Mus musculus: one gene and its partners. The protein of the gene in region 1 purifies or fractionates together with the protein of each later gene. This does not show direct contact. Links are inferred from orthologs where the notes say so. Each region holds a gene or a part of one and is shown in the gene's direction. Other genes may lie near its edges.

Region 1 (5,210 bases):
TTTAAGGTGTGGCTCCTGGTAGGTCAACCACACTCCAGTCAACGGCTCCACAGGGAGGAAGATGAGGGTGGCACAGACTGTATTCAAAAGCTTTAAAGGGGGAAAAAAAAACAGTAACAAACTCAGGAATGAAGATGCCTGACTTTAATTCCAGCACTCACTTGGAAGGCAGAGGCAGGAGGATCTCTTTGAGTCCAAGGCCAATCCAGCTACAGAGAACCTGTCTCAAAAAAAAAAAAAAAATCAAAACAATAGAAACAATAAAAACAAGCTGGAGAGAGGGCTCAGTTTTTAAGCTCATTGGCTGCTCTTTCAGAGAACCAGGTTCGGTCCCAGCACTTTCATGGCAGCTCATAACCACCGTGTTACTCCAGTTCCATGATATCCCACACCCTTTTCTGGCTTTTGTTGGCACTGGCCACACATATGGTGCACAGTCATACGTGCAAGCAAAACTCCTATAACACATTAAAAAAGTAAATAAATAAAAATTTAAAAATAAAAAGCAACGCAGAGAGGCAGGGAGCTGGGAGTGGGTCTGGGAGCCCTCACGTAGGATAAGTAAACTAATCCAGACCTGTCTGAACTTTAGATGCTTGTAAGGCCATACAATTCCTGAGAACCCAGGATGGGAAGGAGTAGTTCTATAGGGGACTCAATCCACATGTATACTCCAGTTGGCAAAAGCGTTGACTTCAGGTGTCTTCTTCAATCTCTTGCTATCCACTGTATCGCTGCTGGCTGGTCAGCAGGCCATGGGAATCCTTCTGTGTCTGCTTACCTAGTGCTGGGATCACAGGCATGCTCTGTCATGCACTGGGGGGCAAAACTCAGCTTTCCATGCTCTGGCTGTACTCACTTACAGGCTGAGTCATCTCTCCTAGATTTAAGGTTATAACATCTATCCGTATAATTTATTTGTGGATATGGGGGTTTTGCTGAATGCATATGTATGGACCATGTTAGTGCTTGGCGTCATCAGAGGCCAGAAGAGAAAGTAGGATCCACTATAACTGGGTTTATAGAATTTTGTGAGTTGTTCTGGGTTCTGGGAATCAAACCTGGTACCTCTGGAAAAGTGGCCAGTAACCACTGAACCATTTCTCCAGTCCAAGGCTTTTTTTTCCCCATTTATTTATTTAGCTTGTGTGTTTGTTTTATGTGCGTGACACAAAGGTCAGGACAACTTTGTGAGTAGCTTTTTGACTTCCAGGTTTATGTTGTGGCTCAGAGATTTGAACTCAGGTAGAAAGGCTCATGGAACAAGATCCTTCACCTACTAAACCATCTCATAAGCCCCAGCGAGCAGACGGACATAGAGTTTAAGAATATTCCTGTTCCTGTCTGAATTGAAAGAGGGATTAGGCATTTCTGCTAGGCATTCCTGTCCAAGAGCACCTTTACTTCCTACCTGGGGAGAGTGTGAATTTTTGTCTGGGGCCCCTGGGGAGAGTGCGAATTTTTGTGTGTGTGGGGGGGGGGCTGGCACGTCCAATCCCTTGTGCTCAGATGGTTTGAAATTTGACTAAGAAAGGACAAAAACAAAAAACAAAAAAACCCGCCGGGCGTGGTGGCGCATGCCTTTAATCCCAGCACTTGGGAGGCAGAGGCAGGCGGATTTCTGAGTTCGAGGCCAGCCTGGTCTACAGAGTGAGTTCTAGGACAGCCAGGACTATACAGAGAAACCCTGTCTCTGAAAAAACAACAACAAAACCCTAGAAGTACCCTTCAGGAGATTTCGCATTACTAAGGCAACGACCCTTTTCGTGCACCCAGGAGAAAACTACAACTCCCCTAATCCTCACGGCTACCCAGCCCCTCCTTAATGGAGGCGGGGCGCGGGCGAGCGCGGAACCGGCTTCCTATTTCCTGCGGCATGATTGGCCCGCAGCTCGGGCGCAGCAGCCAATGAGCACACTCTCGGAGAGCGGCGAGGGCAATATGGCTTCCTGCACCTGGTGACGGTTGAGGGAATTGAATTTGGTATCATGGAGAAACCGCGGGGCACTGAGGTAAGAGGGAAAGGGCTCAGCCCAAGCGGGAAGGGGAGCCCCAAACGCCTCGCTCGGCGGACGCGCCGTTTTAGCGATGTCTTAGTGGTGGACAGTTGCAGGATTGGTAAACTGAGGTACGGAGCTTAGCCTCGGCCAGAGGCCCCCGAGGTTCCTTTTGGTCTGGTGACGAAGGAAGGATGGCAACGCCTCCCTAGCCAGGGGCAGGGAAACTGGGCTCTGAACTTTGTCTTGGTTTCATGGTTCTGAGCTTTAGGATCGTGCGGCCTGTCCCTTCCACGCGGGAAGTGAAGGGAGGAAGATCGGAGTTGATTCCTACTCCACGCTGGGAGCGTTCACGTGCTGGTCTCCCCGTACGCTCACAGCCATCTTCTTTAGGGAGGGATTAAAACAGCCCTCTGGGTCGACACAGCTGCAAAGTGCAAGAGGTTGTCACCAAGTACGTCAGTTTCCAAAACTGCGTTACGCTTTTTCCGTGGTACCGCAGCCGGTGACCCACCGCACCTTGCATTTGAAGTCTCTTGCCGTTTCCTAGCGGTAATAATTGCTAAGCTTTATTGAGCACTGTTGAGTGTTTTACGTTTATCATCCCTTCCCAAAATATTATTAAATAGTGGTGTTGTCTTTATTTGGTGGAAACCGAGGCAGTGCATTTGACTCGCTGTGCATCGTACAGCTAGGAAGCACTAGAGATCGTATTTGAACCTTGGCCCAAAGCGTCATTCTCTTTACCTCTGTCTTGCCCAACAAGCTAGGCACGTTTTTTCCTATTACAAGCTAGGTACGTTTTTATGTAGCATTTCATCGCTACCTCACATTCTGTGAGCCAACAGCTGTCGTGGATGAGAAAATTGTCCCACAGACCTTAAGTGACTTGCCCCAGGATCAGTAGCTGATTTCAATCAGAGCTCAACTCACGGCTGTGGTCCATACCACCATACAATTAGTCATCTGACTCAAAGCCTCCTTGGGATAGCCTGGGTCTCAATTTTCTCAGTCTTTTTTTCTTTTCCCTGTTTTCCTTTAAGGAAGAAAACAGGTTTATTGGATACATTGCAAGGAGCAGTGGTCTAGGCAGCAGCAAGAGGGCCTGGCAGTCTTAAATTTGTTTCTGAGTTGAGATCATTTGGATGTACATATACAGAAGAGGGAAGAAAGAGTTTCAAATGCCTTCTAGCCCAGTAAAAATTTTTTGAGGTGCTTAGGATATTTCCACATTATTGTGTAGATCTCTGATCCCTGGCAGCGTTTTTTGACCTGATAGTGGTGTGGAAACAGTATCTTTTCAATAGATGCTGTTCTTTGAAATTGGAATTTTGCTCTGTACCCAAGCTACCAGTATGAGGGGTCTTGGTGCTGAGCAGAGGCTCAAACCAACCACAGCTTGCACTTAGCCATGTGGTCATTGGAGGAAACAGTCCATTCTCTTTTCTTATTTGTTTGTTTATTTATTTATGTGAGTACACTATAGCTGTACAGATGGTCATTGGAGGAAACAGTCCATTCTTTTTTCTTATTTGTTTGTTTGTTTATTTATTTATTTATGTGAGAACACTATAGCTGTACAGATAGATGGTTGTGAGCCTTCATGTGGTTTTTGGGAATTTTAGGACCTCTGCTTTCTCTGGTCAACCCCACTCTCTGCAGTCACCCTTGCTTGCTCAGTCCCTGCTTGCCTCGGCCCAAAGATTTATTTATTATCATACATAAGTACACTGTAGCTGACTTCAGATGCATCAGAAGAGGGCGTCATATCTCATTATAGGTGGTTGCGAGCAGCGACCATCTGGTTGCTGGGATTTGAACTCAGGACCTCCGGAAGAGCAGTCAGTGCTCTTACCCGCTGAGACATTTCTCCCGTCCTCTTTTCTTTCTTTTCTTGTTTTGTTTTTTGGAGAACTTGTTTTGTAGACCAGGCTGGCCTCAAACTCACATAGATCTGTCTGCCTCTGCTTCCTGAGTGCTGGGAATAAAGGCGTTCACTACCACACCTGCCTTTTTCTTTCTTCTTGTTCTTCTTCTTTTTTTTTTTTTTTTTTTTTTTTAAGAGGATCTACTAGCCAGAGGGTGGTGGTGCAAACTTTTAATCGCAACACTTGGGAGGCAGAGGCAGGCAGATCACTGCATTCTAGGTTAACATGGTCTACAGAGCTAGTTCCAGGACAGCCAGGGCTACTGAGGGAAACCCTGTTTCAAAAAAAAAAGAAAAAGAAAAAAGAAAGAAACAAACAAACAAAAAGAAAAAAGAGAGTGAAGAGAGAGGTGGGGGTGTTGGGGTCTACCGTGCGGTCTGAGCTGACCTGGAACTTGCTGTGTAGACCAGACTTGTTTCAAGCTCAGGGTTCTAGGATTAATGGTGTGTACCACAATACCTAGCCTCTTATACCTAGTCTCCTAGATGTTTTAAATGAATATATACATATATAGATAGATAGATAGAGATATAGATATGTATATAGATATGTGTGTGTGTGTGTGTATATATATATGTTGGTTTTTAGATTTATTTATTTATTATTATATCTAAGTACACTGTAGATGTCTTCAGACGCACCAGAAGAGGATAGAGGGCATCAGATCTCATTATGGATGGTTGTGAGCCCCTATGTGGTTGCTGGGATTTGAACTCAGGACCTTCCAAAGATCAGTCAGTGCTCTTAACCGCCGTATATTGGTTTTTCTTTTTTTTTTTTTTTTTTTTTTTAAGATTTATTTATTTATTATATGTAAGTACACTGTAGTTGTCTTCAGATACACCAGAAGGGGGCATCAGATCTCATTACGGGTGGTTGTGAGCCACCATGTGGTTGCTGGGATTTGAACTTCGGACCTTCGGAAGAGCAGTCGGGTGCCCTTACCCACTGAGCCATCTCACCAGCCCCGTATATTGGTTTTTCATGCCATGATTTCTTTGTGTAGCCTTGGCTGTCCTAGACCAGGCTGGCCTCAAACTCACAGAGATCCACCTGCCTCTGCCTCCTCACTGCTGGGATTAAAGGGGCGTGCCAGCCCCCCACCCCCAGCTCAGTTAAGAGTTCTTGCTGCTCTTTCAGAGGACCAACATTCAAATCCCCAACTCATGCTGGATGGATTAGCCAGTTTGTAACTTCTCGTTCTTGTCGTTTTCCCACTAGGAGGCGCCATCTTCAGAGCCAATGGAAGAGGAGGAGGAAGATGACTTGGATCTCTTTGGGGGCT
Region 2 (4,546 bases), on another chromosome or scaffold:
CATGTGTGTTCTGGGGAACAGACTTGGTGGTTAGGCGTCGTGACAATTGCCTTTATCACCAAACCCCTCTGCAGCATTTCACAGGTGTCCCTAGCTATCCCTCCAGTCCCTCTCAGTCTCACAGGCATCGGCAGGTGTTCCTAGATGTCTCTTATCCCTAAACAGAATTCTTGGCTGTGCTTTTTGCCCCTGTTGTTGGGGCATCTCTGCAATGCAGTCAGGCTTTGTATAGGGAAAGCAGTCATACCGAATCGCTAGTGTTCCGGTCGTCCCCTGCACCAGCTTTGGCTGTGGTGTGCACATTCACTGCCTCCTCTTGTCAGTGGATTCTGGGCATTGGGGGTTTTCTTTCTATGTTTGAGTGTTGTGCTGCATTGTCTATGTGGACTGCATGTATGCCAGCATCATCTCTCCTGGAACTGGAGTTGTAGGTGCTTGTGAGTCGCCACGTGGGCACTGAAAAGTAAACCTGGGTCCTCGGCAAGCATAGCAAGTGCTCTTAGCCACGGAGCTGGCTGTCAGGTCCCTCATGGCGGTGGTATTTGTGAGGTGAGGTGTCCTGTGCCACTGGCTGGCTGGAAAACCATTTTGTGTAGAACAGGCTGGTCTTGACTTCCTGGAGATTCGTTTCCTCCTTTCTCCTCCTGAGTGCCAGGATTAAGGGTATGTGGCATACTCCTAGGCTGTATCCTCAGCCGGGCATGTTCCAAGTGACCCCTAAACTGTTTGAGGAGATGGCTGGGTTGGCTCTAACATAGGAGGTGATAGTTAAACCTTATGTGCATGCGAAGTGTGATGGGGGCAGGTGCTGTGTCCCTGGCACTTGCTCACCAGAGGCTATTAAGAGTGTCTAGGTATTGGAAGCTTTGACACAGAGATGGCTCTGTTAACACAGAGGTGCCTGCCTTGCTGGTTTGCACTCTGGGCCCTGCCTGTAGCTTCATGGTAAAGCCTACCTAACCTTCCCTGAACCTTTCTAAATTTGTAGTTTGCTTTTGTGTTTAAATTTTTTATTTTGTATGTAACTAGTAGAATCACGCAGTGTATAATACTGAACAGCTTTTATCTGAAATTAAGGTGCAAAATGAATCCTTAGGGTGTTTTGAGGGGAGAGTGTTTTGGAAGACCTTGTGGTCTGGGTACTGGGTGTGGCTTGTTGGCCGAAGGCTTGTCTAGAGTGTGGGAGACTGTGTGTTCTATAGCAAGGCAAAGACGCATCAACAGGACTCCCATATTGGCTTGAAAGCTAGAAGGGGGCTCTAAGTGATGTCAGTCCTCAGTATGTGCCAGTTAGCAGTCATGTGGCTTGCTGGAACTTTGGGTCTGGAAGACTGGGTTTGAACCAGTCTCAGTCCCAGCAGTAGTGACATAGGAAAGACTGCTTGTGACCAGGCTTCCTCTTGTCCTGAGGAGTAGCAACCAGAGAACCCTAACCGAAGTAGCTCTTTGGTATCTGAAAGGCCAGTGTCCCTGGGGGCTTCTGCATGCTGTATTCACATGTGTGATGGTGGAATGTGAGCACACCAAGGGGAATGTGGCCCTTTTCCCAGTGTCAGGGTGCAGATGGAATGGGACCCACTTCCGGCCAGCATGGCTGTGCTCCCCAGGGCTTTGTCTGCAGCCTTTGGATCTGGCCGTGCCAGCATGGAGCTGCTACTTTACAACCTGGTTTTCCTCTGTCTCCTTGAGGCCTGGGCACCTGGCCTCCTGGATGTGCCTTTTCCTCTTCTCCCCATCTCACTTGCTGATATTTCCTTGGTCTGTTTTTCATTTTCCCATCTGTGTGTGCACACGGAGGGTGGAGCATGCATAGGCAGCCATGGGTACACAGGGCTGAGCATTTGCCAATCATGCTGTGCATGAAGGTGGGGCCTAAATGTATGGCGACGGCGACTGGGACATTTGATGCCAAAGGTAGATAGCTCCTATATGCATAGTTTTCCTTCTATTGTCAGATCCACAGAGAAGATGTGTGTACCTGAGGGTTGGGGAGCTCACTCTGCACTGTCCCTCAGATGTGCACAGGGTCTCTGTGTGTCCTGATGGATGTAGATCTCAGTGAGTAATGAGGCTGCCTGTCAGGGGGCCACCTGACCCTCCTTGGCACAGCATATCAAGAAGTGCTGTATGGAAGAGTTGAATCTGGGAGTAAGTTAGCTTTCTTCAGATTCAGTCATTTGGCAGCGTCCGTGCGGCCAGTGGGTAAGCCAGGCACAGTGCCCTCCTGCACACGCACAGCCGCAGGCTGCTGGCAGGTGCTCCCAGGCCAGTCTTGAGTCTAGCACAGCTGTGCATCTTCTCAGGGGTGGTTGTTTTGGTGCTGCGGAATAGACTGAGGTCTCCCGTGAGCTCCAGAACTTTTGCGCAGCCTTCATGCTGGTGTGGGATGTGTCAACGTGACTGGCAGGCAGTACTGGTGGGGGACGTAAAGCTCTTACTGTCTGGGGATGGGGAGGGATCCCCTGTTCCCGCCTGAGAGAGTAAGCCAAGATGCACTTCCCGTCTTGTGTGGCCTAGTGCTCCCAAAGTGTACCCACACCTTCACTGGATCCAGGTATCTCAATTCAGTTCCTGTGGGGATATCCCCAGAAGAATTTGATCACTGAAGTGCTCTGTACTTTGGGATTTACCAGAGGTCTTTTTGACTTAGAGTTATGTGTGTAGTAAGATTTTTGACATTGAGACATTGGTTGTCAGAATAGGACAGTTGTCTGTCTCCAGAATAACAGGTTTGTGTGTTAACTGAGGGAACTAAAACAGCAGACCTCTTCCCAAAGGACATCAAAAACATTGCTATAAGAGTGGTCGCCACATCAACTCTGGTAAAACTGGTTACCTGATTCCCAAGAGCCACCACCTCTGGTCAGGTGAGCTGCTGGCTGTGTGCTCCCAATGGGGTTGCCTGTCCCTTTCTTGTCCTGATGATGTTTGGATCCTGAGGTCCCTCATAGACAGTAGAAAAAGGTGTCCCCGGCAGGACAGTCAGGCACCACTCCCACTTGGGAGCTGGAAGAGGTACCTGTTGTCTGTCCTAGGGTTACAGTTCTGGAAGTCTGTCTGTCTGTCTTCTTTCTTTCTTTTGTCCGTCCTTCCTTCCTTCCATCCTCTCTCTCTCTCTCTCTCTCTCTCTCTCTCTCTTTCTTCCTTCCCTTCTGGTAACTTTTATACTTTATAGGGGCAGTTTTATCCTTGCCTAGCTCATTAAGAGGAAATAAACCAGCAATGTGTTACTGTCCTGTGATTAATCCTAGCTATCAGTAAGTTGCCTCCTTGTCACTATCGGTGTTCTTGCTGTGGGAGGCCTGCCTTGTCCTTTCCAGCCCCTAACTGTGGCCTGCTCTGTCTTCTTGAGCCTGCCTACCTGTTTGAGACGTTGATGTTCTTTTAGATGTACGGGTGTCTGAGCTGTGTGGGGTAGTGCCACAGCAGAGCAGCGTGCTTCTCTGTTGCTCTCTCACTGTGGCTGACAAGGCAGAAGGAAGCGGTGGTACTGTGATGGAGACACGTCTGATTGTTCTGAATTCTCTTTTGACTGTAGGTGATTGGCACGCCTCAGAGACCGGCAGCATCCAACACTATTGTGGTAGGAAGCCCACACACTCCCAACACGCATTTTGTGTCACAGAACCAGACGTCTGACTCCTCACCTTGGTCTGCTGGGTGAGCACCCCCACCCCAGTTTGGCAGCTGCTGAGAATGTCCCCTTTGTCCTCTGGCCATGTGTCACATGGTCTGTAGTGGGGGTCCCTGAGCAGAGAGAGCGCAGGGCTCCCATCTCACCTCTGACTGGGCCACAGAGAACACCGGTCACTAATACGACACAAACGCTTAGAAAGTGTCAGAAGATCTGATCTCTACCAGGTCCAACACCAGGGCTCTATCCCATGCATGGTCTGTCCCTCCGAGGCAGTACTGCCACTGAGACTGTAGCAGACGTGGAAGTGACTGACTCTCTTTAAAGATCACCAGTGTGTCACATTTTAAAAACTGTTGTGAAACCCTGTCTCCCTTGCTTCAATTTAAAATCATCTGTGCCCCAAACTCTGCAGAGAAACGTAGTGACTGTTCCCAGTGTGACTTAGTGAGGGCGACACAGTTGCTGTGCCTCCCGACCTGAAGCTTGCACCATGGTTCCCATTTGACACATGTCCATCAATCTAAGCATCTGCCTTATGTCATGGTAGCTTGCCAAAATTACCCCTGGAAATTCCTAAGTTTACACTAAAATGTGCCGTGCTCTGATGCCAGCAGACGCCTTTAGAACAGTGGTGCCTAGTGTGTGGTCCGGATCAGACCCATGCTGATTTCTGCCCTTCGGATGTCTGTCCATCTTCCCTGACATTTAAAGGCACAGGTGTGTGAACTGGCCTCATACATGTTCTTTTCTGACCTGAGAAACATTGATACTTGCCAATGTCCTTGATATATTAGGGCGGAGTCCCTGCTGCCTATGGTGGGGCTGTGGGAAAAATGGGCCTCTGCAGCCTAGGCCTTCTCTGAAAGTGACTTTGCTTCTGGCTCCCGTGACTACTAACGGTATCTGTTT
Region 3 (4,473 bases), on another chromosome or scaffold:
TTCAAGGACAGCCAGGGCTACACAGACAAACCCTGCCTTGGAAAAAAGAAAAGAAAAGAAAAAAAAAAAAGAAAGAAATAGTCCTCCTAGCTTGATTTGATTGGTGGTTAACCTGGAGTTGGAAACTGTTTTGTTAATAACTCTAGTGACATTTCTAAGCAGGGGAAGAATTAAAATGGTGTTCAAGTGAAATGATGATGTAGAAGGGTCAATATTTAAGTTCTTGGTGTTGATCGTTGTTTTGGGTTGTATTTGGAATGGAGGCACTCCCATGTTACCAATCCAGTGAATTGTTTTGAGAACCATTTCTTTTTGCTAAAGTATTCTTTTGGTGGTTTGGGATCTAGGCATCTAAATCTGTGTTAAGGTAGGAGGCGTAGTCTCGTGGTTGTTTTTTTTGTTGTTGTTGTTTTTTTGTTGTTGACATTGCAACCTTTTTTGTTTGTTTGTTGTTTTTTTGTCGCGTCCCACTCGATCACCAAGCAAAAAAAACGCAACCATGGGTTCTTCTTAAAGCAGTTTACTCAGGCAGCTACTTTCTTCAAATCCCCCAGCCTCTCTGGTTACAAGTGTTTTTCTCCATTCCAGCCCTACCAATCTCCACAGGTCACATCACCTCACCAGGCAGGTTTGCTCAGCCAATCAGGGATTAAGGGCGGGCCATCCACCAAACATGGGCTTGTTTACTACCTGGAGCAGACCTCCATCCTGCTGACCAGGAAGTCCGGAATGGCTCCCTACAGTTTTTGTTTGGTCTTACTGTATTGATCTTAGAGTTCCATTTTCCCTTCTAACTAGCAGTTAATTGGGTGAACAAAATCAAGATGTGTTTCTGCCTCAGGACAAGAATTAGCTTAGCAAGCTGGTTTTTGGATGGTGGCCTGTGCCCATAATCACAGCTCTTATGAAACACAAGACAAGAATTTTGTGAGTTGGAGGCTAACCATGGCCTCCATAGGAAGATCCTGATTCTGTCCAATCCTAGGGCTGGTAATGTACTTGCTTATACTTTGTATAGGCAAGTTCCTGGGTTCAGTCTCCTCCACTGCTCTCCCAGTCCAAAAAAAGAAAAGAGTTATTTTGTAGAGATTTTCTAAAAATGTAATTAAGTGGAACTATTGCTAATAATGAAATACCTAAGTGTCTTGACTAGATTTTACTTGACTTATTGCTATTTCAGCTGTTATTCTGTTATTTTGTCCTTTTTTTCTTTTTCCCTCCCTCCCTTCCTTCCTTCCTTCCTTCCTTCCTTCCTTCCTTCCTTCCTTCCTTCCTTCCTTCCTTCCTTTCTTTCTTTCTTTCTTTCTTTCTTTTTTTTTTTTTTCCAGAGCTGAGGACCAAACCCAGGGCCTTGCGCTTGCAGGCAAGAGCTCTACCACTGAGCTATAGCCCCAACCCCTCAGCTGTTATTCTGACAAAAGTGGACTAAGATAGACTGGGAAGGAGAGAGAGAAAAAGAGATTTTCATTACTGCATCTAATGAACTCTCTCTTTAATTTTTGATTTTCAGAGAATGATGACTTATTTATGATGCCACGAATTGTCAATGTGACATCATTGGCTGCAGAGGAAGATTTGGGAGGTATGAGTGGCAACAAATACCGTCACGAAGTTCCTGATGGCAAGCCACTTGACCACCTGAGAGACATTGCTGGGAGTGAAGCCAGCTCCTTAAAAGATACAGAGAGAATCTCTTCCAGAGGAAACCATCGAGATAGCAGAAAGGCACTGGGTCCAACACAGGTGCTTTTGGCAAATAAAGATTCTGGGTTTCCACATGTAGCTGATGTTTCCACTATGCAGGCAGCACAGGAATTTATACCTAAAAATATGTCTGGTGATGTGAGAGGGCATCGGTATAAATGGAAGGAGTGTGAGTTGAGAGGAGAGAGACTAAAGTCAAAGGAGTCTCAGTTTCATAAATTAAAGATGAAAGATCTGAAGGACTCAAGCATAGAGATGGAACTGAGGAAAGTAGCCTCGGCTATCGAGGAAGCAGCCCTCCATCCCAGTGAGCTGCTGACTAACATGGAAGATGAGGATGACACTGATGAGACTCTGACTTCACTGCTCAATGAAATTGCTTTTCTTAATCAACAGCTAAATGATGACTCTGGCCTAGCTGAACTGTCAGGTTCTATGGATACAGAATTCTCAGGAGATGCTCAGCGAGCTTTTATCAGTAAACTTGCTCCTGGGAACAGATCAGCTTTCCAAGTTGGACACTTGGGAGCAGGTGTGAAAGAGTTGCCTGATGTCCAAGAGGAGAGTGAATCCATCAGCCCCCTCCTCTTGCACTTGGAAGATGATGACTTTTCTGAGAATGAAAAACAGCTTGGGGACACAGCCTCTGAGCCAGATGTCCTTAAGATTGTTATTGACCCTGAAATAAAGGATTCTCTTGTTTCCCATAGGAAATCTAGTGATGGAGGGCAGAGTACTTCTGGTCTCCCCGCAGAGCCTGAAAGTGTATCTTCACCTCCCATCTTACACATGAAGACTGGCCCGGAGAACAGCAACACAGATACTTTGTGGAGGCCTATGCCAAAGTTGGCCCCATTAGGTTTAAAAGTAGCTAATCCCCCCAGTGATGCCGATGGTCAGAGTCTCAAGGTGATGCCTGCCTTGGCACCTATAGCTGCCAAAGTTGGGTCAATTGGACACAAAATGAATTTAGCAGGAATTGACCAGGAAGGCCGGGGGAGCAAGGTGATGCCTACATTGGCACCTGTTGTACCTAAATTGGGCAACTCTGGAGCTCCATCAAGTTCATCAGGGAAATGAGCTTGTTCATCCTCATACAAAAGCCAGGCTGTGAGGGGAAATGAATTTCACCTCCTTTCTCTGTAGGCGTCTGTTTGTTTGTATTATGGAACTATTATCCTTGACTTAATTATGTGTGAATATTGATGGAGAAAGGAGGTGTAGGGTGCTGGTCCTGGTGTTTGAAATTCTGATCATGTTAAAAATGTGTTACCTCACTTGTGGTGCTGGGTCCCCTCATCTTCTCTAAGAAGGTGTGATTCCCTCTTGCCCAAGGAATTCATAACAAGATTCTGGCTCCATCAACTACCTTATTATTTTCCCCTGAGAAAATGCTTGAGACTTGGAATTACTATAGACTAAAGTATAAGTCATAGTTGTTGGCTCCAAAATCTGAGAATTATGATACAGTTGTGTGGGAAAAAAAAAAAAAAAGAACTTTTAGTTACTATTTCAATAGTAGGGCATGGTAGGACTGGGCATGGTAGTGCACACTTGTAATTCCAGCACTTAGAAGACTAAAGCAGAAGGATTGCAAGTTTGTGTCTACCCTGGCCTATCAAGGGGACAGACACACACACACACATACACACTTGTGGGGGCCAGGGGAGTAGGAAGAGAGAATGTTATAGTAGGTAGGATGAATATTATGGAATACCAAAGTGAAGGGATTTTGTCATTCAGCAGACTGTTTCATATCCAGAATAGTTCTTCCCTTACCCTTTCAGTCATAATTAAAAACCTAAGCTTTCTGGTAAAGTAGGAATATACTTTTTACTTTTACTATTAACATACTTATTTTCAGAGACTAAAAAAGACATACTTCTCCCTTATTTCTTGGGGTATCACAAAGATTCATTCATAATACCAGAGATTTCTACTCATTGTTTTTTGGAAGTAGACATAGAGGCAGCCCTTCCCTTTCCCAAATCATGTCACTCAAGAAACAGCTAAAATGAAAAGCAGTTTCTCCCCTAACCAGAGACCGTAGCCAAAATAAAAATTTGTGGGGCTGGGTATTTCCCAAATGAAACCAGCCTCTAGGTGCTTGAAGGTTTTGTTCACTGTCACCTGCACAGGATGTAAAGAAAAGGCGAGTCAGAGTGAGCAATCTTTACCAGGGAAGTAAGGCAGTATTTGAGTCACAAAGTATATTTTTTATCTGCTATCATGGCATCAATGATCTGTAGAGCTTTTTCACTCATTGGCTGTCAGGGTATGAAGGACTGACAACCTGTAAAGATGAAGATATTTATATTTTTGTATAGTTGTTTTCATAGATTTCTCAAAGGATGAAGTTTTCGACCTAGAAGAGATTTGTATTGAGTATAGAAATGTTTCCTATCTAGTTTGTAAATAATCATGGTGCATTTGAGGGGTCTCTCGGGAACTCGTGAGGCAAGAATCACTGTTCTGAAAATGTATAGACTGAGATGTAGCTGCTGCATTTGCCTTTCTTAAATAATTATATTTTGGAATGTAACCCGTTCTGTCTTCAATGACAGGATTTGCTTGTGTTGTAAAAACACTTTAACACAAGTGCTTCCGGTGCCTGGGCTGTGCCTGGGTGATTGTATTTCTTTTACACTACTGCGTCTTTATCCTAAGTCCCACTCTGTATCCTCTGACCTAGGTTGTGAGACCAACTTTGGAATGAATCTAGCCAGTGAATTACTTCTATGTTTGATTTCCTTTTTAGATTAACTCTGA
Region 4 (5,060 bases), about 12 Mb from region 1:
CAGAGGCAGGCAGATTTCTGAGTTCGAGGCCAGCCTGGTCTACAAAGTGAGTTCCAGGACAGCCAGGGTTATACAGAGAAACCCTGTCTCGAAAAACCAAACAACAACAACAACAACAAAAAACTGTAACTCTAGTTCCAGGGGACTCAACACCATCACACGCACGCAGTCATACATGGAGGAGAAACACCGATGCCTATATAAGGAGAGAGAGAGAGAGAGAGATCATTAATGTAGGTGCTAATCCAATGAGTGACGTCCTTATAAGAGAGCATGGCATAGGCAGAAGTGATAAAAAGAGATTAGGATACAGGCACTCACATACAAAGATGTCCCTTTGAAGGTGGGACCTAGGTAGATGGCTATCTGCAAGCAAAGTGGAGCCTTGGATGAAAGCAGCCCTGACATCTTTATCTTCTACTCGGAGCCTCCAGTATTATGGGAAAAAACATTTCCATTGCATAAACCACTCAGCCTCTTTTATCTTGGAAAATTAACGCAACCTCTAATATATAACTTTTACACTCAACTAAGTCAGACTCTCTATTCTGCAAAAATAAAGTAATACTAAGCACCCAAGCAAACCCCACATAAAACAATCTTTTAAATGCTTTTCCAAATTTCTAGTAACTCAGTGCCTTGTGCAAGTGCTCCATCTCTGAGCTGTATACTCCCACCCGTTCTGCTATAATTCATTTTGACTTTCTTTTCTCAGAAGCTTGAAGCCTATTTCCCTCTTAATTACCCCAATTAATATCATATTCCCAATGATAAAAAGGAGAGCATCCTCCAGTTTGGTTATTAACTCTTGTTTGGTAAGTAACACATCAATACAGTAGTCTCCCTTTTGCTGGAGTTTTGCTTTCCTGTTTCAATTACCCACAGACGATATAGTTCAAAATATTAAGGACTTCCTAAACAGTTAACTCCTCAAGTTTTTAGTTGCCATCTCACTCTGAGTATCATGATGAAAATTTGCTCCATCCTGCTCTGGCCCAGCTGGATACATTTTCTAAACAACCTTATAGTATCCCAGGAGCCACACAGTCAGATCAACTGTTAAGTACGCAGTGCCTGAACTGGGTCCCCTTCAGTTAGTTAAGCCTGATGCGGAGGCTACAACGCCTCCATCAGCACACCCAAATAAGGCAGAAGAAGGCAGGGCTCCGAGAAGGGATGGATTTCATCTCTCCTTTCTTCAGGGGCAGCTTTCCTGATGACGGTTCACCGACTTGGCATGCTAAAGTCGCCCCTCGATCAGAGGGATGTCAAGCTAACTCTGGTTGTGGGGTACCCGCCAGATCGGCGAGGTGGGAAGCAGAGCTTCAAGGACCAGCGAGATGGCTGTTTGGGTCTAGCAGGCGAGGTGTGTATCCCCGACAGGCTGGAGTAAGGAGACTCGGGGAGGTGGTGTCCAGGGCACAAGCAACCTCGTCTGCCTTACGTAGGCTCACGAGCGTCCGTTTTATAACAAGCCACTGCAGAGCCCCGTGAGGCCAGGAGGACGCCGCTGCAATTAAAACCGGATCAGACCCTGGTTTCGTCACGTTTGAATTATGTAAGCTAGAGCAGGGCACCGAACCTCTCCCGAGCCTCTGGGTCGCTTCCCCAGAAGGAAGGATGACAGTCCCCGCCGCGCCGGGCGCACGCGTGTCTGCGGGCGCCTGCCATCGCGCCCTTCGGGGCGTGCGAGCCACGGCCGGAGCGCTCCGGGGCAGCCAGCGGGCGGGCGAGCTGGAGGGAGGCGGCGCCGCGAACTCGCCGCCGGTGCTGGGCCGCGCTCCCCGCGTTTGAAGTCTCCGGCGCGGCCGCTGGTTGGCCGGCGCGGGTCACGTGCGCGCAGGCAGGAGTTTCCCCGACAGCTGGAGGCTGCGTGGGATCCGGCGGCGGCGGCGGCAGCGGCGGCGGCGACGGCGGCGGCGGCGGCTGCAGCTCGCGGCGCGGCCTTCCCCGCCCCCTCGCCTCCGCGCTTCCGCCGGCCCCTCACCCCGGCGCTGACAGACCGGCGCGCGTCGGCAGCGAGCATGGGCGACAAGAAGAGCCCCACCAGGTAGGGCGCCCGCCGGCGGAGCGCCCGCGGCCCGGGGTCCCGTGGCGTGGCGTGGAGCGGCGCGGCGCGGGGCGCGCGCGTGTGTGTGGGGAGAGGGGGTGCGGCGCGGCGCGGCGGGGCGCGCGGCTGCCCACAATGGGCCGCGATGGCGGCCGGGGTCAGCGGCCGCGCTCCCCTCCCCCGCGCGGCGCCGGGCGGGGCGGGGGTCGCGGGCCGGGCGGGGCGGGGCGCGGGGCCGGGCGCGGCCTGCGGCTGACCCCGCGCTGCGTCGTGTCCGGTTGTGTCCTGCAGGCCGAAGCGGCAGCCGAAGCCCGCCTCGGATGAGGGCTACTGGGACTGCAGTGTCTGCACCTTCCGGAACAGCGCCGAGGCCTTCAAGTGCATGATGTGCGATGTGCGGAAGGGCACCTCCACCCGGTGAGTCCGGCGCGCCCGTGGATCCCCCGCGGGGCCCCCCGCGCGACGCGGGACGGCGGGGCGGCCAGCCAGGCGGCGGCCGCGGTGGGGCGCGACCCGGCTGAGCCGCGGCTGGCGGCGAGGGCTCGGTGGCGGCGGCGGTGGCGCCTGCTGCGGAGGATGAATTATCCATGGGGGTCGCCGGCCGCTGCCGTGCCGTGCCGTTCCATGCGTGGCCGGTGCGGTGCCCCCTCCCCAGCCGGGCGCAGAGACCGTGATCGCTGGTCGCATTGTGGTGTTAGTGTGCGGGGAGGGGGCGGGGACGGGGAGCCGGGGCGGGGGAGGGGACGGAGGAAAGGCCGCGATGTCACTCGGTCCCCCTGGGGAAAAAGTATCGCTTGTAGGATCGTAATGGATTAAACTTTCTTAGTAACGGATGTCCGGAAAGGGTCAGGCCAAGGTTTCGCGTCTGGGTTTTTTTTTGTTGTTGTTCTATTTCTGTAATAATTTTTTACAGTTAAGTAGTTGGTTGGGAGGTGAACCCAGCAACGCAGTTTTACTCCAGTGCCTGGATATTTTTACACAAACGAGATGACATGATCTTTGTCTGTTGCCGGCCCTGGATTTGTTGTATGGTAGGCATATAGTATTATAATTGTCTTTCCAAAAAAAAAAAAAAAAACCATTTAAAAGAGTTAAATTTAGGAAATTCGAACTCAGTAGCATTCTTGATCTGTCTCCACTTGGTCATAGTTCCCTTGGGAAGGCCGCCTTTAAATCCACTTCTACAGTGATTTGTAGCAATATTTAAGTAAGGCATTTATTTTGCTGCTATGAAGCCTATTCAAATACAAATGATTACAGAATACGGGGAATTTTCTGTTTGAAACAGAGGGCCTGTATAATTTTGACATTCTAAATAGTCAAAGTTATTTCTAAAAATGATGTATCCTGTTTTTTTTTTAAAAACTCAGTTTATAGAATTTTACTAACATTGTAAGTGTAGAGACATGTCAGGATTTTATTGTTTCTACAATACTGGTTGTTTTTGACATACCTGTCATAAATCTCAATAGGTTTTTACTACGAATTCTCATTTACATTGAATACAATATTTTTAGTATTTCTTGGTGTCTATTAAAAAGCAAGGTTTTAAATCCCTTTTAAGTTCAAGGAAAGATTCTAAAAAGAGAAACTACTTGCTATTTCTGGACTCACGTTTTAAGTGTTTTGGAAAGCACGGTGTATATGTCTATATAAGGATGGAAACGGCTTAGTGTATAATATATGTGTATTTGTAAATGAGCAATATGGAGATCATTTGACTTGGGTTTTTTTTTTTTTTTTTTTTTTTTTTGCTTTTGTTTTTACTTGTATCCTCTCATACTTTTAGACGAACACTGGATTAGAAGAGCCTATTTGTTTATTTGCAGGGACAGCAAGGATGGGGGCAAGCTGGTGTGTCCTACTCCACAGCCAGTCTTGGGGTTAGAGGAGCCCCGAGAAGTAGAGTAGGTGGTGACACTCAGAAGAGAAGCACCAGGCTGAGTCCCTGACTCCTGGAAGAAGGAGGATTGTAGCACACAGGGGAGCTGGCCCACAACAGAAGTGGGCCTGCTTTAGAGAGGCCTGAGACCCACCTGCAGGCCCCTGGCTTTTTGTTTTTGTTTTTGTTTTTGTTTTTAACCAGTAGATCCAATTTTTAGTGGTGGAAACATTACTTGAGGAGGACTCAGAGAAGCATTGTCATTTGGATTGAAACTGAAGAGGCTCTGGGCCCCTCACCAGAAGTCTAAGGGACACCGTGTTCCTAAAAGTAGGTGCTCAGAACGGTGTCCCTCTGAGCTTCTTCCTCTCTCTCTCTCTGAATTGTCTCCTTTGACTTTACCCCTAAGTGAATGGCAGGAGTTGTAACTTCTCTGTTGTCTGTTACATTTCCCTTTGCTCCCCCCCTCCCCCCCCCCCCCCCCGCCCCGAGATCTGTGTTTGGATGGATCAGTAGAACATGGTCTTGTTAATAAGTAGATGCTGGTTACATGCACAGTGTTTGGATGGATCAGTAGAACATGGCCTTGTTAATAAGTAGATGCTGGTTACATGCACAGTGTTTCCTCTTAGGAGTGACAGGAAACCAGGTGAAGGACTGGGACACAGATGGAAGGCAAGAGTTGAGTGGTCGGGGGACATTGTTCCCCCAGTTGATGTGCCTGTTGGCAGATAGGATGGAAGGAGAGCAGGGAGGGGGCAGCTGCAGCACACAGGGACACAGCTTGCTAATGACTTGTTTGTGTGACCACAGCCAGCATTTGGATCCCTTGGGTCAGAACAACCTCTGAACTGAATCTGTTCTAGCTGCCAATCACGAAGGCAAGCCTAAGCTATTCTAGATGTCTGAAGCCTTTTCTTCTTTATGTGTATGTGCACACATGTACTGTGTACTTACATACGTGTATGTGCACACATGTACTGTGTACTTACATACGTGTATGTGCACACATGTACTGTATACTTACATACGTGTATGTACACACACGCGCTGTATACTTACATACGTGTATGTACACACACGCGCTGTATACTTACATACATGTGTGTGCACACATGTAAATACATA
Region 5 (5,232 bases), on another chromosome or scaffold:
TGCTGAACTGTGACCTACGGTTGAAAGCAGTCTAGTGAATGTCAATATTGAACTACAATTAAACAGCAGATAGCTTTGGGGGCAACTTTTTGAGTTCCCAAGGCAGTAATGACAGCTCCAGAATTATTTATTTATATAAGACGAGCAGTTTGATTGGACAAGGGATCAATCCTTTGTGTGCACAGCTATTGACATGAGTTGGTTTTTTTGTTTTTTGTTTTTGACAGGGTTTCCCTGTATAGCCCTGGCTGTCTTGGAACTCACTTTGTAGACCAGGTTAACCTCGAACTCAGAAATCTGCCTGCCTCTGCCTCCCAAGTGCTGGGATTAAAGGCGTGCACCACCACTGCCTGGCTTCTGTTGCTGCTTTTTTGTTTGTTTGTTTTTTTATTTTATTTTATTATTTTTTCTGAGACAAGTTTCTTTGTGTAGCCCTGGTCGTCCTGGAATCTTGATTCAAGGAAAAGAAGGAAACAGTGTGTGTGTGTGTATGTGTCTTACTGAAAGATGCAGGCTGAGTGCTGGGCTCAAACTCCCAATCTTCTTCTTGCTTCAGCCTTTAAAAAGCTAGAATATGGAGGTGGGCCACCCTGCCCAGCTAAAAGCTTTATTTTATTCTTGATTTTATATGAATTGTATTTATTTTTAAGATTTTATTTTCATGCATATCTGTGTATTTGTTTGTGCCCTCAGAGTCGTGAAGAGGATGTTGGATTCCCTGAAACTGGAGTTACAGGCCTTGTAAGTCACCTGGTGTGGGTGCTGGGAGCTGAACTTAGGTCCTTTATAGGAACGGTACCGGGTCCTAACCATGGTCCTAAGCACGGAGACATCTGTCCAGTTCCTTCTAAGAATTATAATATTCAGCACAGTTGTTGAGTGTTATATAATGCATCACTGGATACCACAGTTCTTATATTCACTAATGTAAAACTGTCATTCTCCACATACATTAAACGCTATGTCATGGTGTGAGTTGTTTTGACCAGATTGCTGACACTGATAAGATTGTACTAGTCATTTTAGTCGTTGTAAAAAATCCACAGTAAACCCGGAAATGTTGCCCTTATTCCTTAGGTCCTGTTTTGTAGTAGTGGTATCAGAACTGTGTCAGCTTGGTGGAAGGAACTCAGAATTTTTCTACCAAGGTGAGGTGTGGAGGTGGGGGTTATCTAAATTTGGGGCCTCAGTCTCTCTGCCTTTTTTCTTCTAGTGATGCCCCCACAGTACCCCCAGGAATACTTGGTTGGAAAGCGATACCTTTAACTTATCTCCCGCCTCCTTCGTGTGGTTCCCCAGGTAGTTTCACGTTGTAAGGCCTTTTTAAAATTTAATATATATTTTTTATTTCTTGGATTTATAAATATCCCAGGAAATGAGATGACTGAATGCAAAGAATCCATATGTATCAGTATAAGGTGTGTTGCAAGACAAATTATCAAAAACTCCCTTTCAAGGTAACTCTGCGTGCTCTCTCAGGAGCTTTTAGGAGCCCCTTGCAACGTTCACGTCTAAACCCCAACAGATTTATTAACATTTGAGAAAGGATGCGGACTCTCTCTTCACTCAGGCGCATCACCAAGCGGGGGCGCGCTGGAAACCGCACTGACCGAGGTTTAGTCACAAAGCCAGAAGCACGAACCCACTTGGAGTTCCCCGCCTTCCCTTTGACGGAGGCCCCAGGAGCAGTCACGTGGAACCCCAGAGCGCTCCCCCAGCCCTGCGCAAAGACGCGACTCGGGTTGCCAGGGGGCGGAGCAGGGGCGCGGAAGGGGCGGGGCTCGGGCCGCCGGCGGGGGCGGGGCGGCGCGCGGGCGGGGCGGGGCGGCCCGGCGTATTATGGGATGCGGCGGTGGAATGGCGCTGGGCGTGATTTTGAACAAACCCGGGTCTGTGTTTCGGAGGCGCCGCCGCCGCGGCTGCTGGGAGCCCGGGGAGCGCGGCGCGAGAAGGAGGCGGCGCCGCCGGCTCGGGTGAGTGTCAGCTCCGGAGACCCGGGCTGAGCGGCGGGGACCGGCGCCGGGCCCGCGCTCGGGGCGAGCGGCGCGCGGGCGGAGAGCGCGGCGGCGGCTCCGGGCAGCCGGGCGGTGGGCCGGTGGGCCGCGGCGGACCGAGGGTTGTCGGGGCGCGGCGCGAGCGGCGGGCGCCGGAGAGCGCGGCTGTCAGTCGGCGGGCCGGCGCCGCCCGCCCCGCGCTCGGGAGGAAGGGCTGGGCGGCTGTTGACAGGCTCTCGGCGCGGCCCGGGAAGCGGCTGCCGGCCCCGGGCTTCTGGGAACCTGTTTTGCTGCTGTGTCATTTCGTACCAGCGCCTCCTTTCGCTGCTGCCCGGCGCCGCGTTCTTCCTACGCCCCTTTGTATGGACTCTTCTGGGTGTGTGTCCGTTTCCCTCGCGAAGCCCACCAGCCAAATGTCATAGTGTCCCCGCGGTGCACGGGGGAAGGGAGCGGGCTGGGACTCAGCCTGGTCAAGCAACGGTAAACAACCATCCGAGTGCCGGTGGACCCGGCTGTTGGTGGGGAATAAAGTTGAAAGATGGAGAAACTGGGAACCCCTTCCACGCTCAGCCTCTAGCGGGCTCTCGGTAGAAACGCGCCGGGAGTGGGTGGGAGACAGCCCTTGACTAAGCCTGAGCCTGCTGACTTTTATATGGAGGTGTCATTCAAACAAGGTAGGGAAATGAAATGGCTTCTGCTTCTTCCTTATTCTTAGGGAAACTTAAGACAGTAGATTAGCCTTGTCCACAACCCTGAGATTCAGCTTGCTGGTTTCTGTTAGGTCTTTAAGAGCTTATAGTATGACTGAATGATAAAGAATAAAGCTTTTGAACTGGCAATTAGTAAGGCTTTCTGAAGTCAAACAGCTAACTTTTGGAGGATGCTGGTCCTATTAAGCCTTGCAGCTTATATGTTCTTAATTCCTTACATGATTAATTACTTCTATTCCCTCTTGGGTGCTTATTAGACTACACCATGAGAGGAACTGGAAGGGGGTGGGAGATGGATAGGTTGTTCCGGAATCTTGTTCTAAAGCAAGCTGTTTTTTTCCCCCCTCTGCATTGAACAAGTGTTATCAGCAGCAGATGGTTTTTAATTTGGAAACTTAGATCCTAAAGTCAGTTGGCAAAGGGTTCTAGCGAAGAGCTGGATTTTCTATATGTTAGAAGTTGATGGTTATGAATGATAATAGAGTTGAATCAGTAATTTAAATTTAGTAGTACCTGAGTATCTTAAACCAACGACAAATTGACATAATGTTGTTCATGGGCAAAAATGGTCAAAGTTGAGAGGAAAACAGTTCAGAACTTTATTCTTAAAAATGAAGGGGAGAGGAGACCAATGTCTGCATGATCAGCGCCTGTAATTTAAGGATGTCCGAGAAGTCAGGCATGCATATAGAAATAGCCATACTGTCAACATAGTCCTATGAGTGGAGTAGAATGCCAGCGTTGGTGAGTGACGTTAAAGCTCTCCAGTGACTCTGAAATATACGTGAAACATGGTCTACCATCTCTCTCAAGTGTGTTTCTGGAAATGAAAGTTTGAGGTTTTACTGTTCTTGTGTCAGATTCCACACGGCTTGCCTTCCTAACCAACATCCAGGCCTTGGAATCCCGCAGGTATCACGATTCCCCGTGGCGTTCCTGCGGGTCTCCCGGGTGCCGAGTGTTTGGTATTGGGATGTTGGGTCTGGCATGACCCGCCGGTGAGCCCTAGAACCTCTCCCTCCCCCCTGAGTGCGTTTGAAGGTTGGCGGGGCGGACGGGAGGTTTCCCCGGATATGTGGGTGTGCGCTGCTCCGGAGGGCGGGCCGGGGCGGGAGCAGGAGGAAGGGGGAGGTGACTGGCGGCGGTGGCGGCGGCGGCTGGGGCTCGGCTGTCGGGGGAAGCTGCTGAGCTGTGATGGTGATGACGAGGTGAAAATGGCGGATCTTTCGAAATACAATCCCGGCCTCTGACATACCAGAGGCGGCGGCCGCGGCGACATCGCCACCCCGGCTCCCTCCTGGGTCCCCGGGTACCCTATAGCGCTCCATTTCGTGCAAACTGGGAAAGGAAGCAGCTGGACAGAGCTACGGTGCACAGGCAAAACAAGCACTGCCCGGGCTCGAAATTGCCCGGGACCTCTGGAGCCCGCTCGGAGCCGGAGGGTGGAGAAAGCGGCAGCCTCTGGAGGTAGAGGAGAAGGGGGGTACCCGAGGGTTCTCTGTTTGCAGAGCTCATTTTTGGGAGTTGGGGGAGGAAATGCGTTGGGAATCTAGAATGACTTGTCCGGAGGAGTGCAAAGAATCTGTAGCCTTGTAATGACATCAACGTTTTGTTATTATTATTGTTGTTATTATTATTATTTTGACTATCGAGAGGACTGAGTTTGCTTATACCTAAGGCTGCTACAGAGGCCTAGAGGAACCGCTAGTACTTACCATGATTTCCTGATAGAATACTTAAAATACCCACTCAGTGGGGCTTGGCTGATGGTGTCCAGCAGTTAGGGAGTTGTGTTTCTTTGGGGAGGCACAACATTGGTATTTTCTTCTACATTTAATGTCGGTGACAGGACATAGTCTGGAACTTGTTGGGGTGTGGGTCCTCATCTATTTTTGAACATATGGACCAGTTTTGTGGTTATCAAAAATTTTTTATATGGCTTTGTCATCTTTGGGGTGGCACCTTTGATCCTGCCACTTGGCAAATAACAGTTGATACTGTAAATCATATTTTCTGTTCATTTTTAAATGGAATTTCTTCTATGTCCCCACCTAATTTCATGAATTCAGAGAATGAAGTTATGGGAGATTTTATAATAGGCTGTATACTACGAGTGAAATTCTGTTTGGGAGCACGGTTCTGCTTATGAATTTGCCTTCACTGTCAGAGATGTGATGATTGGATGAAAGCTTTGAGTGTATATAGCTGATAAAGACAATTAGAATCTGTTATGTGACAAATGTTGCTTCCTTGTTCAGGTACCTAGAGCACTGTTACTTACCTTCATTGTAAGACTTGAGTGACCTTATAATGGCCCCAGCTTACTTTAGTCATCTGATGATCCATACTGGTTTAGATTGTTATAGGGTCCTAGGTAGTCTCCCTGCATCCAACAGGAAAGGGTTACATGGTCTATACAATTTTATAAACTGGTTTGGGGCTCTTCTTTTTTCTTCACCTTTAGTGGTAGAAGGTTGGGTCAGTGACCTTGAATTATAAGAGTAAACAGAGGTTAATAGTTAAGAAAT
Region 6 (5,318 bases), on another chromosome or scaffold:
TGCATAATTATTAACATATCAATCATAAAGCCCACTCTTTCAAAGTATATAATTCAGTGAAAGCTTGCCTTTATCCTGGCATCCTCTAGGTTGCACATACGAACCACCTGAAGATCATTAAAAACTGTCTTTTACTGATCCTACCCACCTCCCAAAGGCTTTGACTTCATTGAGGAGGGGCATGGAACAGGCATGAGATATATTTTTTTAATCCCCCAAAAAACTAACTTGCAGCTAAGGATGCACTCTGCACATTGCACATTGCAGGTAGATATATAAGGAGGGTTTGCGGTGATCATCCATTGTCTCTACTTCTGGTATCCAGTTAACTCTTACTATCTTATCCAGGCAGTGGTGGCAAATGCCTTTAATCCCAGCACTTGGGAGGCAGAGATGAGGCCAGCCTGGTCTACAGAGTGAGTTCCAGGACAGCCAGGGCTACACAGAGAAACCCTGTCTCGAAAAACCAACCAACCAACCAAACAAACAAACAAAAAACCCTCTTACCATCTTTGTCTCCCTTACAGCCCTTGACTTCTATTACGAGTCAGTGTCTGCTTATGACTGTGTTCTCATCACTAGGCTTGGCCACACGGACATTTAAGGCCAGCCTGGGCTAGGTGTCAGAAAGATTGTATTACACCACCAAGTTTCTGCACTCAATAGTCAGGGGTTAAATGATTTTTTACTCAAAAAACATTAACTCATAAATCAAACTCAAGACCGCACTCATTTTGAAGATCAATTGTAAAGTGGTAGTCTGGTTAATTTCTCAGATGACCTTATTATTACTGTTTGTTTGTTTGTTTGTTTGTTTGTTGTTTCATTGAGGACCTGGTGCACACTGAAAATGGTGACAGGGTAGTCCGGTTTTTGCTTTCAAAGCTGTGAAGTCTTTGAGGGGACACATCATGCCATTCCTGGGCTGCCACATATTAGATACTTAGCTAAATGCGGGTGGGGACAATGTAGTTACACTTCATACCTCGTTGCATTATGTATGACCTTAACTGGACAGGGAGCTGCACAACTTTCCCGTTTTGATTCTTTTTGCAGTTAATTAAAGTTCTCTATAAACTGGGGCACTCCCTAATCTGCTCCGGCTACAACAAACAGAAGGTAGGTTTTACTTGCACCTACGAGAGGTTTTGTAAACACTCAAGCCCAGCAAGGACAGTTCTCTCGGACAAATGAAAGCAAGATTCTTGAGATGAAGGACACCCGGCGAAATCGGTCCTTTAGTTTGTCCCGTAATGTCTCTTAACACCTTAAACCCAGATAACAGAGGGCCCGCGTGGGCATCTCGACCGCGCCCCCTGGTCAGCCACAGCGTGATTCCTTCCCGGGAGGGTTACGCCCCAGGGCGCAAGTGGAGCGACTCAAGCATTAAACGAGACAATGTAAAAGCAGTCTAGCCAAGAAGAGACAGTGTTATTTTGGCAGCCAGTTTCTCTCCCCCCGCCCCCAAACCCCCGAGCCTCCACCCAATCCCTTGGGCCGGGCGCCCAGAGCTCGGAATTGTGGCCGGCTCCAGGAGCCCAGCTCCCTCCACGTGTCCTGTCTTCCCAGCAGCCTCTCCGCCGCCTGGGGAGGAAAATCTCCTGACAACTCGCGGTCTGTGGACTACATCTCCCGGGAGGCACCGCGCCACTTCTCGCTGCCAACACCCGGGGCGCAGGCGCCCTGAGCTCTGTCAACAAGCGAGTCTGGCGAAGCCTGTGTGCGGTTCCTGATGGGATTTGTAGTTTCTCTGGCTCTCTCTCACTCGCCCATCCGACGCTCGAGGACTACAAGTCTCAGCTACCCCGGCGCGGTGAGCCCGGTCACGTGTTAGGGGGCCGATCGGGCGTGCGTGCCGCCGTTGATCCGGTGCTGCAGTGAGGTGGTTGTCGCCCGTGTTGTGTGTGCGTGAGTGTGTGTGAGTGAGTGAGCGAGTGAGTGAGTGTGTGCGTGGGGGCACTCGGCTTGTTGTTGTCGGTGACTTCCCCCTTCCCTCCACCCCTCCCCTCCCCGGCCGCCGCTGCAGTGGCCGCTCCCTGGGCCGTAGGAAATGAGCGATAACGATGACATCGAGGTGGAGAGCGACGTGAGTCCTGGGGCTTCTTCCTTTCCGTTCGGGTTGTCAGGCGGGGACAGCGGCAAGGGTTCTCAGCCGGGCGACGGCGGGAGGGGGTCGGGTCGCCGCCGCCTCCGTCCTTTTCTCCCCCTCCCCCCGGGGCCGGGACCGCCTGCGTCGCGCTCCAGGCTCGCTCCCCTCCAGTCCTGTCCGGAGAGGCCTCCTGGGACTGAAGGTGGGAGCAGACACGCGGCCTCTGGGACCCCCACATTCTCCCGTGGAGGAGGGTGTCGAGGCCTCCCTCTCCGCTCTGCCCGGCTGGGGATCCCATTATCCTTCCGGATCCTGGGCAAGGAGACCAGCGCTCAGCTCTTGCTCTTTGGGTCCATGAGCTCCCTCCTCCTGTGACCGGTTGATCCTTGGGGTGAAGGGGCTGGGAGTGCTCTGACGCCCTAGAGGGATCGAGGGAGAGCAGGCAGTGTTCCGGATCCCTCTTGTCCGGTTCGGATCCCAGAAGGAGGGGCAGTGCCTGAAACCCCCCCCCCCCCCCCCCCCAACTAGGCTACGGGATCTCGCTGGAGAGAGTGGAAGGGGAAAGAGGGAGGGAGGGGTGTCAGACTGACTCCCCACCCGCTGCTTCCTCCGCCGCCGGCATTTTCTTTCTTATTATTGAATTCGAAGTGTGAAAATAACTTCTGTATTTTCTATTTTTCTCTCTCTCTTATTCCAGGAAGAGCAACCGAGGTTTCAATCTGCGGTACGTCTCCTACTCTCCATTTCATTTTCATTTCCGTTCAGTTTTGGTTCTTTTTGGAGTCAGAAAAAGAGATCGTTCTATTACTTTTAATACTCTTGTAAACTCCTCTTAACCGCTAAGGTGAGGTTGAGTCTGTTGGGGTTGGAGGAGGGGGGCGTTGCAAATCCACATGATTCTTGATATTCAGGTGGTAGATTCTAGTGAGTAGGTAGGTAGGTAGGCAGGCAAGTGAGGAGGCCTGTGCTGTGAACTGAGTTGTTCTGTAGTGTTCAGTGCGGCGGAGATATGTGAGAAATGGAAGGGCATTCTGAAGTGAATGGTAGTGTTATTTCAGAGCAAACTGGCTAGGTTTTATTTAGGAGCAGGTAAACTTTAAGCAGTATCTCCATAGTTGTGTGAAGTTGCAGGCACATGTAATAATCGCCTTTAGCCAAGGTCATGTGACTACTGCAGACTCCTAGGATCTAGAAAAGCATGATATTCCCCAAAAAACGACAATGGAAAAAAGAGAGGCGCTAGAAGTTAAATATTGAAAGTGGCACAGCTTTTTGTGGTCTTGACTTTCCATTTGAGAAGAAAAAAAATGTTGAAGAGTGGCACTGTTAGAGACAGCTTTGCTGAAAGGTGATGGATGCATCCATATAATGTTATCAGTAACTTATTAGATTTTTTTATATTAATGGGGTTTTTTTGTAGGTGTTTCTGGCTTTGGGTTGACCCCATGCTTTCTTGTCTGGAGTCTGAGACTTAGGAGTAAATAGGCATAGATTAGAGAGAGAGAGGAGAGAAGGAATAGACTCAGAATACAACCAGAGGAGAGAGAGAGAGATGGAATATTTGATGGTTGGAAATGGTAGGGAAAGAGAATGGAGTGAGGTCCTCATTACCCGTGAGGACCAGGTAACAGCTAGTCAAGGGTGGAAGGAAGAGGTGAGGATGTACACCCCTTCTAAAAAGTCCGTAGCCACCTGCCCCTGCTGCTTGCTACCTGAGAGTGATCGGTGCTGCCCGGTGCTGCCAGATCTTTTTGTTTCCTTCAGGGCTGAGCCCTATCCCTGGAACCTCAAAGTTTATGAGAAATGTTAAAATACTTGAAACACAGATTATTACTTTTTTGGGTGTGTTTATGTGCATTTAACTTTTGACTGTGCTAGGATTCGAACCCAGGGCCCTCGCATGCTGTGCAACCCCTCTGCCATGGAGCTTCAACCTCAGCCTATTTAATTGATTTTTTTAATTACATTTACTTAACGTGTGTGTGTGTGTGTGTGTGTGTGTGTGTGTGTGTGTATGTATGTATGTGTGTATGTATGTATGTATGTGTGTGTGAGTGTTGTGTGGTCACGTGTATGTGATGGCTCACATGTGAAGGTCATAAGAACCACTTGGATTCAGTTCTCTCTCTCAAACACATGGGTCTGGGGATTGAATTTAGGGTCATCAGGTTTGACCTCAGTGCCTTTACCCACTGAGCTATCTCTCTACCTTCTAGTTACCTGATTTTTAAACGATATATGACACAGCTGTTTAGGAACTTGTAGAGTTTGCAGGATGCAACTAGGCTTGGTGGTTCTGGTCGGTAAACCCAGTTACTGGGGAGGCTGAGGTAGGAGGATCAAACGTTCGAGCAATTTACTGAGACCCTGCCTTAACATACACAACACAGAGTCCAGGCTTGTGGCCCAGTATGTAAGCCCAGGGCTTCTGAGGCTTTGGCAGGAGTCTTCCCTGAATTTTAAGCCAGCCTGGGATATAGAATGAGTTCCAGCCTGGGCTACAGCATGAGATTCTGCCTCACACGAACAAGAACTCTCTACCTTTGTCTCTTTTTCTAGGGAACAAGTTTGTAGGATGCCAAATGATAGCTCTGATGTAGGACCTTACTATTCACAGGCTAAAAGCAGGTTCTTCAGTTGTATGTGTGCTTCGTTAGAGATTGTACAGCTTGCCTGAACACTAAGAAAACCTTATTTATTGAGTGCTGGTTGATTGAGTGCAGTAATCTCAGAGGTCTTAAGGATTGTTCTGAGAGCCTCGTGGAAGATAATGTTTTATTTCCTAATGAAGCATTACACATACTTACTTCCACGGAAAGTCAAATTCCTTTTTTGTTTTGTTTTTCAGCTATTATTCTCTCTCTCTCTCTCTCTCTCTCTCTCTCTCTCTCTCTCTCTCTCTCTCTTGAGAGAGAGGGAAAGGCATCTAAGCTGTCTTGGAACTCAGGGAGATCGGTCCACCTCAGGTTCCTGGATTAAATGGGATTTAATCAGCTGGGACTAAATGTGTCACCACCCTGCCTGGGTCCTATTAGTCTTAATACTATGGACTTGGTTGTTTTCTTTTGAACCTGTCCTACCAAAACAACAACAACAAAGCAACTTCTTTCCCCCCTCCCCAAGTCTCTAGTTCTAAGGTCTGCTGCAGGACTTGATGAGGGTTAGGGGGCAAGGGTTGGAACGGCTTGTTTTGAAGACTCATCCTTGAGCTGGAATTAGGTTTGCCTTT

Evidence for each region.
Region 2: the proteins of L3mbtl2 (region 1) and Tfdp1 purify together in Homo sapiens (affinity purification with mass spectrometry; 4 studies listed by BioGRID and IntAct, counting the BioPlex papers as one, with this or other methods). This does not show direct contact. The link is inferred for Mus musculus from reciprocal best matches to the Homo sapiens genes L3MBTL2 and TFDP1.
Region 3: the proteins of L3mbtl2 (region 1) and Mga purify together in Homo sapiens (affinity purification with mass spectrometry; 3 studies listed by BioGRID and IntAct, counting the BioPlex papers as one, with this or other methods). This does not show direct contact. The link is inferred for Mus musculus from reciprocal best matches to the Homo sapiens genes L3MBTL2 and MGA.
Region 4: the proteins of L3mbtl2 (region 1) and Yaf2 purify together in Homo sapiens (affinity purification with mass spectrometry; 5 studies listed by BioGRID and IntAct, counting the BioPlex papers as one, with this or other methods). This does not show direct contact. The link is inferred for Mus musculus from reciprocal best matches to the Homo sapiens genes L3MBTL2 and YAF2.
Region 5: the proteins of L3mbtl2 (region 1) and Lin54 purify together in Homo sapiens (affinity purification with mass spectrometry; 3 studies listed by BioGRID and IntAct, counting the BioPlex papers as one, with this or other methods). This does not show direct contact. The link is inferred for Mus musculus from reciprocal best matches to the Homo sapiens genes L3MBTL2 and LIN54.
Region 6: the proteins of L3mbtl2 (region 1) and Max purify together in Homo sapiens (affinity purification with mass spectrometry; 6 studies listed by BioGRID and IntAct, with this or other methods). This does not show direct contact. The link is inferred for Mus musculus from reciprocal best matches to the Homo sapiens genes L3MBTL2 and MAX.

The regions. Positions count from the first base shown.
Region 1 is NC_000081.6:81,662,013-81,667,222, forward strand, and holds the start of L3mbtl2 (lethal(3)malignant brain tumor-like protein 2), read left to right. Parts: upstream 1-1,876; 5' UTR 1,877-1,988; coding exon 1,989-2,012; intron 2,013-5,146; coding exon 5,147-5,210. UniProt on the Homo sapiens protein: Putative Polycomb group (PcG) protein. PcG proteins maintain the transcriptionally repressive state of genes, probably via a modification of chromatin, rendering it heritably changed in its expressibility.
Region 2 is NC_000074.6:13,365,921-13,370,466, forward strand, and holds part of Tfdp1 (transcription factor Dp-1), read left to right. Parts: intron 1-3,538; coding exon 3,539-3,660; intron 3,661-4,248; exon of another isoform or gene 4,249-4,348; coding exon of another isoform or gene 4,349-4,354; intron 4,355-4,546. UniProt on the Homo sapiens protein: Can stimulate E2F-dependent transcription.
Region 3 is NC_000068.7:119,962,182-119,966,654, forward strand, and holds part of Mga (MAX gene-associated protein), read left to right. Parts: intron 1-1,510; coding exon 1,511-2,784; 3' UTR 2,785-4,473. UniProt on the Homo sapiens protein: Functions as a dual-specificity transcription factor, regulating the expression of both MAX-network and T-box family target genes. Functions as a repressor or an activator.
Region 4 is NC_000081.6:93,333,747-93,338,806, reverse strand, and holds the start of Yaf2 (YY1-associated factor 2), read left to right. Parts: upstream 1-1,871; 5' UTR 1,872-2,024; coding exon 2,025-2,050; intron 2,051-2,341; coding exon 2,342-2,467; intron 2,468-5,060. UniProt on the Homo sapiens protein: Binds to MYC and inhibits MYC-mediated transactivation. Also binds to MYCN and enhances MYCN-dependent transcriptional activation. Increases calpain 2-mediated proteolysis of YY1 in vitro.
Region 5 is NC_000071.6:100,497,242-100,502,473, reverse strand, and holds the start of Lin54 (protein lin-54 homolog), read left to right. Parts: upstream 1-1,834; 5' UTR 1,835-1,973; intron 1,974-2,312; exon of another isoform or gene 2,313-2,646; coding exon of another isoform or gene 2,647-2,668; intron 2,669-2,718; exon of another isoform or gene 2,719-4,171; intron 4,172-5,232. UniProt on the Homo sapiens protein: Component of the DREAM complex, a multiprotein complex that can both act as a transcription activator or repressor depending on the context. In G0 phase, the complex binds to more than 800 promoters and is required for repression of E2F target genes.
Region 6 is NC_000078.6:76,958,758-76,964,075, reverse strand, and holds the start of Max (protein max), read left to right. Parts: upstream 1-1,827; 5' UTR 1,828-2,050; coding exon 2,051-2,086; intron 2,087-2,096; exon of another isoform or gene 2,097-2,291; intron 2,292-2,786; coding exon of another isoform or gene 2,787-2,813; intron 2,814-5,318. UniProt on the Homo sapiens protein: Transcription regulator. Forms a sequence-specific DNA-binding protein complex with MYC or MAD which recognizes the core sequence 5'-CAC[GA]TG-3'. The MYC:MAX complex is a transcriptional activator, whereas the MAD:MAX complex is a repressor.